3 linked regions of the Mus musculus genome follow. The protein of the gene in region 2 interacts with the protein of the main gene of each other region in a biochemical or structural test. Links are inferred from orthologs where the notes say so. Each region holds a gene or a part of one and is shown on either strand. Other genes may lie near its edges. The genes, in order: Atg7, Map1lc3a and Phb2.

Region 1 (3,712 bases), on a different chromosome or scaffold from region 2:
TTGAAGCACCTCCCACTCCTTAGAAGTATTCTGTCACTAATTCATTCATTTCTGGAGACTGGGCTTCATGTAGCCCAAGCTGGCCTTGACCAAGGCATGCAGCTGAAGATGGCTTTGTTCCTTGTCCATTTTCATGTGGTTGTGTTGTCCATGTATGTATATGCGTGTTTGCATTATGGGAGGGCACATGTGCACAGGGGTGCACATATGTGCACATTCTTGTGGAGGCCCAGGTTGAAGTTGGGAGTCATCCTCCATCACATTCCACCTTGTTCCATTGAAGCAGTCTCTCAATCAGACCCAGGACTCATCAATATTCCATATCATTAGTCTAGCTAGCCAGCTTGCTCTGCACAGCCAGCCTCTACCCTCCAAGGCTGAAATTACAGACAGGTCATCAAGCCCACCTGGTACTTATGAGGATTCTGGGTCGCTGATCCTTGTGTTTGCATGGCATGGGTAAGCCACTGAAACATTGCTCCAGGCCTCAACTTTTTTATTTGTTTAGACAAAGCCCCACTGTGAAGATCAGGATGGTCTCCAGTTCCTAAGGTACTGAGATGAAACGATTGTACAATTATGCCTATCAGAAGATTGATCTCTTGGTTTTTAAAGACAAGGTCTCTCTGAATAGCACTGGCTACCCCTGTAATTTATTCTGTAGATGAGGCTGGCCTTGAACTCGGAGATCCACCAGAGTGCTGGGATTAAAGGTGTGCACCACCACACCTAGCATGTGGAACTCTTAATCCTTCTTTCTCTGCTTTCTCTGCCTCAGCCTCTCAAGTGCTGAGATTAAGATAATCACTACCAGCCGGGTGTGGTGGTGCACGCCTTTAATCCCAGCACTCCGGAGGCAGAGGCAGGCGGATTTCTGAATTCGAGGCCAACCTGGTCTACAGAGTGAGTTCTAGGACAGCCAGGGCTACACAGAAAACCCTGTCTTGAAAAACAAAAACAAAAAAAAAAAAAAAAAAAAAGATAATCACTACCACCTCATTTAAAGTGTACAATTCACTGACACTTAACTTACAAATAAAGCCTGGTACATAATAGGCATTCGCATGTGTCTTTTATTTGGTATTCAAGTATGCCATTTACTTGGTATATCTATGCATATTTGTTAAACATATATACCAGACACTGCTTTGTATGTTAGGATTTAATAATATAAAAGTCTTGTATCACAGTAGAACTGACTATAAAGAACTAAGTGCATTTAGCTACAGAGGAGAGAGGAAGGCAGTCTAGCAGTTTTCAAAGATACACATGGGGCAACTAAAAGCAAGTATGACTCTAATTGGGCAATGGGCTGTGACTGCAAGCCACAGTCCTTAACTCCTCACATGACTTTTTTGAGTAAGAACTGGGTGGAGGCAAGCTGGAAGCAACAGGAAGTCATGAGCTTTCACAAACCAAGGCCAAAAAAAAAAAATAAATAAAATAAAATAAAATAAAAAATAAACAAATAAACAGTCTATGGGAAAGGAAAAGCCCGAGGCAGAGCCCTCAAGTCTACAAGGCAGACAGGTCTGTTTACCAGTTACATGGGTTTTAAAAAAAGAAAGACAAAGTCAAACCAACATAAAAAGCCACCAAATTAGCACGTTTGAAAGGGAAAGCACATTTGTGACCAGGATTTATAAATAGGATGCCTGATATGGGAGTGAAGCTCTGAGGTGATGATAGAGTATTTGCTGTCAATATGACTCCAAAGTCTCTTTTTTTTTCCCCAGGAACCACTTTCCATTTGTTTACCCCTGTTTCCCCCCTGTATAAGCTATAAGGCACACACACACACACACACACACACACACACACACACACACACACCGTCTTGTAATTTATCCATTAGAAATAGGAAACCCTGGATGTAAAAAAAAAAAAAAAATCAATAAATAGTCCATGATATTATGATGCCCAGCATGCAGGAACACATCAGAAAAACAGGCGTAGTGGTACACACCTGTAATCCCAGGACTCAAGGAGGTGGAAGTAGAAATATAAAAACTCAAAGGCCGGCCTCTGCTTCACTGAGTGTTCAAAGACAGCATGGGGTGCATGGCATTCAGTCTTAAAAAAATAAATTAATTTATACTGGAAAGCTGACTCGACTCAGTGCTTACAAAGACCTGGGTAGGGTTTCCAGCACCCATATCAGGCACAGCTTGCCTGGAGCTCCACTTCTGCTGGGGTCCGCCATGTCTTGTCTCTGGAGGCATGAGACCACACACGCATACACGCACTCAAAGTTACAAATAATTTTAAAGAATTAAATAAAATTGCAGACGCAGGTTGATTCGGTCTCATCTCAAATTCAATTTGGCATGTGCTGGTAATTGAACCCAGGACCCTGGAACGCTGAAGAACCGCTCTGGGACTTAACTACATCCCACACCCGTTTTCCAGTTTGCAAAAGGGTTTGTGTCCGATTGCCTAGGCTGGTTCTAAATAGCAGTTCTCTTGGCTCAGGTTCCCTGCGGCTGGGGTCACCTCTCTCCGCGACCATGCCTGGCTCAGAAACTTTCTGACAAGTGCATTTGCCTCACCAGGCTGATTTCCTATAAAGTACTAATTTGTAATCTCTGGGTCCTTTAAGGGGATGCAGAACCTCTAGTAGAAAAGATTTAATTATGTCCTCCTCATAAGTAACAAGATCAAGTCCCTTCACAGTCCGGGGACACAAGCTTACTCCGTGGCCGGTCCACACACGCCAAAGGCAGCACTTCACAGAATGAGCAACCAGAGGCGCCTCCCGACCCGGAGATCGCAACACTCTCTGCCGGAGTACGAGGGGACCGAGTATAGACAGGTGAAGAATATTCCAGACCAGCCCAAAACTGGCTTCAGCTTTCCTAAGTGAACCCCGCCAGCCCCGGCAGCTGCTCCGCAACCACGGCTTACTTACCGCCGCTCAACTTCCGGCAACCACAGCCCCAGCCGCGCCGCGCGGCCCAATGACGTAATAACCCAGCCCACACAAACGCGGAAGCGCGGCGCGCATGCGCACTACAACAACAACGACAAAAAGGGTCCCCACAACCGCAATAACGGGGCGAAACTAAGGCTAACCTGTAAGCCTTTTGGGGCTTGTAAGGAAGATTACATTTTCCTGCGAGTGACTCTACAGTACTACGGAATTATTATCAAATTCCCAGGGTAGTACTAGAGTACAGGTGTTGAAACAAGGTTTATTTTTATTTTTTGCATTTTTAATTTTTTAAAAAGGTTATGTCCTCCTCATATTTACACTACATAGCCATGGCTGTTCTGGACCTGTATACATATACATCAGTCTAGTCTCGAACTAACAGAGATTGCTTACCTTTGCTTTGCCCCAGTGCTGGGATTAAAAGCTTGCCCAACCAAATATAACTCTGGAAAACCAAATAGAATCTAAAATATCCACCAAGCTACTGCAGCCAGCAACTTCAGTGACTATAAAATCACTTCTTAAGAACCTAATATGGGCCAGACGGTGTGGGATATGTCTTAAATTCCAGCATTTGGGCTGGGCGTGGTGGCACAAGATTTTAATCCCAGCCCTCAGGAGGCAGAGGCAGGCAGATTTCTGAGTTCAAGGCCAGCCTGGTCTACAAAGTGAGTTCCAGGACAGCCAGAGTTATACAGAGAAACCCTGTCTCGAAAAACAAAACAAAACAAAACAAAACAAAAAATCCAGCATTTGGGAGGCAGAGGTAGGTGGATCTGT
Region 2 (3,725 bases):
GTAAGGTGCCTTGTGGCTTCTCACACTCTCTTTCCTTGCCAGATCCTGCTCATCTCTGACTACTTCTATGCCTTCCTGCGGCGGGAGTATTACCTCACACACGGCCTCTACTTGACTGCCAAGGACGGCACTGAGGCCATGCTTGTGCTCAAGTAGCCCTGGCTGGCACAGCGCTGCATGGACAAGAGGGGGAAGGGCCAGAAGCTGGGCCAGGTCCCTCATCCAGAGTTGCCAGCAGGCGCGTCCTCAGGCAGAAGAAGTTCAAGTCCAGGGTCACAAATCTCTGGCACCAAAGGGGACTCATAGCTGGCAACAAGGCCCATGGGGAGAAGCTAGGAGCACCCCACTTGGACCCCCACTTTGTGACTGTGCACAGAAAGGAAGCAGCCGGTGAGCAGGGCTTTATAGGTTGTGACTACTTAATAAATGTGTGGATCTTTTTTTTTTCATTGTTGTTCTGATGACATGTATTCCTGGAGTGGAGTGAGCTTGGCCCCCTAATACTACGTGCTATCCTGTACTAAGGAGTGGGTTTCTGGGAACACGCGTCTGTCTCTGTGTGTGAACACAGTCACCTAGCAGCCCTCCCTGCTCCCAAACAAGCAGCTGGAGGCAAAGGGCCAGGCAGGCCTGAGCAGTCTTTATTCTTTCTGCAGAGGAAATGACCACAGATCCATACACCGAGTCAGGACAAGGGGAGCCAGCCTTTCAGGGGTGGGGCAGGTCCTGGCAGGAGGCAAAGCCTCAGGTGGATGAGGGGCAAGATGGGCAGACAGGCAAGGGCCTAACAAAATGACAAACCCCACAGAGCAGGGATGCTGCTCCCCACCCACTCCCAACCCAGCCAGCACCCAAAAGAGCAACCCGAACATGACTGGCCCAGGACCTACCCAGGATGTGGTAGGCTGGCTGGTGGCCCCTACCTGGGGGGGGGAGTGGGTGTCACATCTCTGCCTAATCCACTGGGGACTGAAATAGCTTAGTTTAGGAGCCAGGACCTCCCTGGGGAGAACCTGACCAGAACTCCCAGCCACCCCCCTCCCCTCCTCTTGACTCAGAAGCCGAAGGTTTCTTGGGAGGCGTAGACCATGTAGAGGAATCCGTCTTCATCCTTCTCCTGTTCATAGATGTCAGCGATGGGTGTGGAGACGCTCACCATGCTGTGCTGGTTGACCAGCAGGAAGAAGGCCTGCGTGGGGTTGAGTTGCAGGCGGCGCCTGTGGAGGCAGGCAGGCATGCCAGGTGAGGAGGCTGCCTGCTGGAGGCCTAGGTGACCCTCCCAAAATGTTACTGAACCTTCACTTTCGGTCCATCTCAGCCAGAGGCTCTCACCTCTACTGAAGCTCGTCCCAACCCCGACCTTGGTCTTTTCCAGCCTCCTAGAACAGGGGCCCGGTGTCCCAAATCAGTCCCCTCGCCCCACTCCATCCCTTCTTGTGGAACCTGACCCTGCCCCACCCAAGGCCTGTAGGAGGCTGCCCACGCACCGGATGATCTTGACCAACTCGCTCATGTTAACATGGTCTGGGACCAGAAACTTGGTCTTATCCAGGACAGGCAGCTGCTTCTCACCCTTGTAGCGCTCGATGATCACCTGGAGTGGAGTGGGCGGGGGACTCGTAAGCCAAGGGCGGGACCTGGCAGGGCAGGGCGTGGCTGGGGGGTGCTAGAGACTCACCGGGATCTTACTGGGGTGCTGGTCGCGGATCTGCTGCACCTCCTTACAGCGGTCGGCTGCGGACAGAGCTCTGTGTGAGGCCCAGCGGTGCTGAGGCCTCCCGCGACTCCGCCTCGCTGATCCCCGAGGGGCGGCTCCCGGCCCGCCCCGCCCCAGCGCCCGCCCCCGGGGCCGTCGGCCCCGCAGCCCTCCACCGGGGGGACGCGGTAGGGAGGCGGGCGACCCTGCCAGGCCTTGCGGCCTCTCCACCCGGGGTCCGGCCGGCCGGTGCCTGACGTCATGGGGCTGACGTCACCTGCGGCAATCGGGGTCGACTGGCACCCCCATCCCTCGATCCCCGATGGCAGTTCGCCCCCCAGGGCCTCACCGAAGCTGCGCCGCTGCTTGAAAGGCCGGTCGGAGGGCATCGCGCGGGCCCGGCGGGGCGCGCAGCCGGGGCTCCGGGGTGCGCGGCTCAGAGATGCGTCTGCGGTTCGGCGCGCCGGGGGCTCCGGGGCTCGAGCTCAAGGGCTGCGGGGCTCGCGCTGAGCCTGGCGGTGGCGGCTGCGGGAGGTAACTCGCCTGGGTGACGTCAGGTCACAACATTCCTTAAAGGGGAGGCCGGCGCGCCGCTCCCATTGGGCCGACGGAAAACCCGCCTGCCTGGACCTGTGACGCCACGGCGCAGACAGCCCGGATTCCCGGCGCAGGTCGTAAGGAGGCGGAGCTCCAGGGCGCGTCACAGTTCTGTGACGTCACGATGGCAAGCTCCTCTCTTTGGCGCCACAGACTCAGAAGCCAGGCATTTGTCGCCTCCATCCAGTCTCTCGACGCTGCGGAGTAGTTCACCGCACCTTCATCGAGTTTAGCATTCGAGAAGGAAGGTGGAGCGGGGAGAGGATGGAACACCCAGAGTTTTAAAATTTTTAATGTGTCTGTAAGTGTATGCCCGCGGATGCAGAACATAGCATCGGATTTCCTTAGGCTGGAGTTAATCGCACTGCTGGGAATCAAGCTTAGGTCCTCTGAAATAATAGCAAGGGCTCTTAATTGTCGAACCATTGCTCCAGACCCCCCACCCAGGCTTTCAAAGAATTCTGGAACAACCATAGAAAGCATAGATTTCCAGAGTGAGGTTGGTTAATAGGTGGTTTAGATAAAGCAGGAGAGAATCGCTGAATGGGGGGGCTATATCAGAAGTGGTTAACCATGAGATGGAGAACATTCGGAACTGACAACACGCGAAGTCAGATTTTACAGGTAGAGCCCCTTGGTAGGATAGAAAGAAGTATGGTCTGGGAATGTTACCGAGGGTCAGGGTAGGATACTTGCCTAGCAGATGGAAGGCTTAAGTTCAGTATCTCAGGTTTTGCGGGAGGTGGAGGGGATAGAGGGACTGGACGGACACGGAGAGGCGGCCCCTTGAAGAACTTTAAAAATCGATTGAAAGCCAGAATCAATGCCAGATGTAGCTGGCTCTCATTTGTAGTCCTAGCTCTATGGGAGTTTGAGGCAGGAGGATGGGCTAGAGTTGAAGTAAGGAAGAAAAAAGATAAAACAAAAGAATTTACAAAGGACCATTGTTTGAAAAAAAAAGTTAGTTTGTACTTCAGAAACATACAGCTCAAAGGGAAGAAATTTGATGGGAACCAAGTTAACAGATGCACGCTTGAGTAATTCTAAACAACTGCTTATGGACAGAAATGGTAGTGATTGGTACAAAAACAAGCTGCTAAGGTAACAAGAATTCAGCTGAGATTGCCTTAAAGAGGCTGGGTGGCGGTGCCTCCTTAACCCCAGCTCTGTGGGCAGAGACGGGATGGTCTCTTGAGTTCAAGGCCAGCCTGGTCTAGATAGTGAGACCTTGTGTTTTGGGTTTTGTTTTGCTTTTTAAATGTCTTAGGGAGCTGGATTTGTTTGGAAAGATATTATTGTCTGCTTGGTCAGGTAGGGTGCTTGCCCGCAAGCATGAGGATGTGGGTTCAATTTTCGGAATATGTTAGATCCTAGAGGCTCCACCTACAAAGGGATTCAACCAGGCCTTATATCCCATCTCTACCTTCTCCAG
Region 3 (3,746 bases), on a different chromosome or scaffold from region 2:
GCGCGCTCTGTCAGCTCTCTTCGGATCAACAGGGACACCTGGGGGCATGGGTCGGGAGGGGAAGGGAGGCTTGGTTTGAGGGGATCAGAGAACTGGAAGGAAGGTGGTGGCATTGCTGTAACCATCTGAACACCGGAGCTCCTGAATATGGGCAGCAAACCCACCACTTAAGTCCTCAAACATTCACTAGAAAAAACTTGGTTCCATTTCTTCCTGTGACAGCCGTGGCATCACCAGACTGCCCCACATCACACTGAGACCTAATCTCTTCTTTTCAGTTTATGCATCTCTTTAGTTTCCAGTTAACGGAGGAAGACCTTCTGTGGAGATGTAAGGCAATACTGCCACTTTCTGTACTATGCTTCCTTCTTAGGGTCGACTGGTGTCAGGTTCTACCGTTTTTCTCCTCATTTCCCACAGTCACAGCACAGCTTTCCCACAGTCCATGCAGCTAAGGATAACCTTAAACCCCTGATCCCCTTGCCTCTACCTCGAGTGCTAGGATTACAGGCATGTGCCACACCTGGTTTAAGCAATGCTTGAGAATAAAACCAGGGCTTGTGCATGTTAGGCAAGTACATATCAACTGAACTACAGATCCGTCCCACCCCATCCCGAAATACCTTCTTTCAGTACCCAGTAACCCTGACCAAGGAGAGACACAGGCTGCCGCCGTGCAGACAGTGATAGGAGTCAGACCTGAGCCCGCTGGGTGATCAGCTGCGAGGCATTGAACTTGGCCACCACACTCTTGAGCACCTCATTAACAATGGACGGCAGCACTCGCTCCTCATAGTCCAGCCCTAGACGCTGGTACATGCTGGGGAGCTCCTGGGCATTGGGTCGGGACAGCACACGCAGGGAGATGTTCACCATCTGCAGGTCTGAGGGAAGAGGTCAGCAGTGGCCGCCGGGTAAGGCCAAATTCCCCCTTTTCCAGCGCTTTCTCCTAGGAGTGCTTCCCACCATGCCTAGTGTTACTGTACAGCCTAGCACTCCAGCAGGAAGATAGTCATGTCAACACAGAGCATGTGAACAACATGGATGGGCGAGGCAGACCCTTGTTTACTGTGGAATCTTTTCTATGGACCTTCCACCAGTACAGCTATTTTTTTTTTTTTTTAATAAATTGCTACTCCTCCTCCAAAGTGGATTCCACCAAGCAGCATAATCTTGGGTTTCCCCCTTGCCATTAGGGCCTTGAGAACCAGAACTGTGTTTTATTTCCAAGGCCTATGGCTTAGCAAACGCATAAACCACACACACCACAAACAGCAACAGAGAAGCACACTTCTGTGGGCTACTTGCCTCGGTGTGTACATGGGAATGAGGCCCAGGCTTGGGGAATCTCAAAGGCAGGCCTTCTAACTATGGTCTACAGGGCAACAGCTAGTGAAGAGTGGGGGCACTTTCTCCAGAGCAAGGTGTACTGTGGATGTAATCAACAAATCAACAGAAAAAAAAAAAGGCCTTAAAAACAGACTTGGACCTAGGCAGCCAGGAAGAAAGGCAACTCTTATCCCTTTTATGCTAGGCAGAAGGTAACGTTAAAACGTGCATGCATGCCAAGTACTGGAATGCACCGTTTTTTGAACCGTGAGGCATGGCTCTTTTGCAGACGTAGAAACCAAGACCTCAGAAACACAACCAATTCTGGCAGCCTGGCCAGGCTCATTTTACATTTGTTTCCCCACGTGCCCTGAGGCTCCCAGTTGCCCACGTTTACCTTTGGAGCCTGTGGGGGAGGAGATTTTTCGAGGTCTGGCCCGAATGTCATAGATGATGGGGTACTGGAACCAGGGGATCCTGGAGAGGAGAGGTCATGGACAGGAGTTGGGAAACTGCAGTTTTATTGATTTTGATGGTTCCCCTCACCACTCGTCCTTGGGCCTGTTCCTCCCCACGACCACAAGGACTCTTCCCAGTCGAGAACAGCCCTTTATGCATTGCTGGAGTTTCAGGCAGCCACTGTCCTCAAGAGCAGGCGTGAGGAAGGGGTAAAGCAGCTCCGAATTGTTAAGTCTGGCTGCAGCCGTCAAGGGTGAAGGGTCAGGGCCTGTTCGCTCTGCCCGCCATTACCTGAAGTGAAGGCCTTCGGCCAGGATCGTGTCCTGCTGCACGCCACCAATACGATTAAAAAAGATGGCTCTATGACCGCCTTCCACTGCGGAGAGAGGGGTGGGAGTCAGGGCAGGCTACTGGCCCGAGTGCTGGTCAGCGTAGGTGGGACGGGGACACCTGGGGGATAGCAGGACCGTGGGTCTGGGGACCGCAACGTCCGGCCAGCGGAAGGAGGCTGCTCACCGGTGAACACGGATTCGCGGACGCCGTAGGCCACCGCCCCGGCCCCCAGCAGCAGCTTCAGCGCCGTGCCCATGCCCCGAGGCCCGGCGGGCAGGCGTCCAGCTAAGTCCTTCAAGTTCTGGGCCATGTCTGATCCTCCCGAAGGCGGCGGCGGCGGCACCAGCGGTCAGGAGGGGGTGCCCGCCAGCCTCTGCCCCGCTCCAGCTTACAGACCTCGCCTTGCACACGAGGATCGGCGGCCTTAGAGCTCGCGGGAGAAAGGGCACCGGAAGTGCGCCTCCCTCCGGACCCGCCCCCCTCCGCCCGGGCGGCCCTGAACTCCGCGCACAGGAATGGCGCATCCGGAAGTCCCGCCTCTTGGTGGGGGGGAATGGTGTGCCCTCCCGGAGAGGCTTCCGTACGGGCATCGCCATTTTCGAGCGCCCTCTTTCAAAATGGCAGCTCGAAGGAAGTTGGCCGTGAGGACGGACGTGAAGTTCTAACTTAAGGACTTCGGTGCAACTTCCGGTCTGCCTACAAGATGTCTGCGGCCAGTGGTGGCTTCCAACCTCGTGAGCGGCGATTTTCAGTGCAGGAGCAGGACTGGGAGACTACGCCGCCTAAGAAGCTCCGGCTTGGGGCAGGAAGCAAGTGCGGAGGCCGGAGGCTCATTGTGGTGCTGGAAGGGGCCAGTCTGGAGACAGTCAAGGTAGTTTTGAACAGTGAGTGCGGAGGTAGGGAATTGATGGATCAGATTGTGTGGGAACCAGGGCCGCAGAGTGCATGGAAAAGCGGAGCCTTGAAATTTGCTCTGGAAGAATGACCTAGTTTTCCAGGCTGTTGATATCCTGGGGGTAGTCCTTTTGCTCTGGACTTTCATTTCAGCCCTCGCCTTGCTTTTAGTTGACTTATCACGGAGTCTGTGATGTATAATGCAAAATGAGGGAAGCATTGTCTATTGAGGGTTCCCACGTTTCCAAAGGCCAGTGACTTCCCCAGCCTTTTACTACCAAGGACTTGATGCTTTATTTTGTTAAATGGGGCTTGACTGGCAGCTTGTTCTGTATTTACCTATTCTGAAGTATGTCTGGATCAGATTATTTAAAAAGCCTTTGTCTTTGCTTTTTTACCCTCCCCCTTAAATATTTACTTTACCTTTATTTATGCATGCAAGTCTGCATGTGGCCATGAGCCACCTCATGAAGGTGCTAGGAACCTAACTTGAGTCTTATACAAGAAAGTTTGTGCCATCTCTCCAGCCCCCTCCTTCCTTCCTTCTTTCTTTCTTTTTTTCTTTTTGTTTTTTTGAGACAGGGTTACTCTGTATAGCCCTGGCTGTCCTGGAACTCACTTTAGACCACGATGGCCTCAAACTCAGAAATCTGCCTGCCTCTGCCTCCCGAGTGCTGGGATTAAAGGCGTGCGCCACCACCGCCCGGCTCCTTCCTTCTTTTGTATGTCTT

What was found.
Region 1: the proteins of Map1lc3a (region 2) and Atg7 form a complex in vitro, tested with the Homo sapiens proteins (2 studies listed by BioGRID, with this or other methods). The link is inferred for Mus musculus from reciprocal best matches to the Homo sapiens genes MAP1LC3A and ATG7.
Region 3: the proteins of Map1lc3a (region 2) and Phb2 form a complex in vitro, tested with the Homo sapiens proteins (2 studies listed by BioGRID). The link is inferred for Mus musculus from reciprocal best matches to the Homo sapiens genes MAP1LC3A and PHB2.

The regions. Positions count from the first base shown.
Region 1 is NC_000072.6:114,642,347-114,646,058, reverse strand, and holds the start of Atg7 (ubiquitin-like modifier-activating enzyme ATG7), read right to left. Parts: upstream 2,933-3,712; 5' UTR 2,909-2,932; intron 1-2,908. UniProt on the Homo sapiens protein: E1-like activating enzyme involved in the 2 ubiquitin-like systems required for cytoplasm to vacuole transport (Cvt) and autophagy.
Region 2 is NC_000068.7:155,274,967-155,278,691, reverse strand, and holds Map1lc3a (microtubule-associated proteins 1A/1B light chain 3A), read right to left. Parts: upstream 2,329-3,725; 5' UTR 2,086-2,328; coding exon 2,046-2,085; intron 1,735-2,045; coding exon 1,679-1,734; intron 1,595-1,678; coding exon 1,488-1,594; intron 1,218-1,487; coding exon 1,055-1,217; 3' UTR 619-1,054; downstream 1-618. Other genes in the region: Pigu (phosphatidylinositol glycan anchor biosynthesis class U protein precursor), read left to right, coding at 43-156. UniProt on the Homo sapiens protein: Ubiquitin-like modifier involved in formation of autophagosomal vacuoles (autophagosomes). While LC3s are involved in elongation of the phagophore membrane, the GABARAP/GATE-16 subfamily is essential for a later stage in autophagosome maturation.
Region 3 is NC_000072.6:124,711,122-124,714,867, reverse strand, and holds the start of Phb2 (prohibitin-2), read right to left. Parts: upstream 2,580-3,746; 5' UTR 2,432-2,579; coding exon 2,305-2,431; intron 2,165-2,304; coding exon 2,080-2,164; intron 1,807-2,079; coding exon 1,727-1,806; intron 885-1,726; coding exon 700-884; intron 39-699; coding exon 1-38. Other genes in the region: Emg1 (ribosomal RNA small subunit methyltransferase NEP1), read left to right, coding at 2,825-2,992.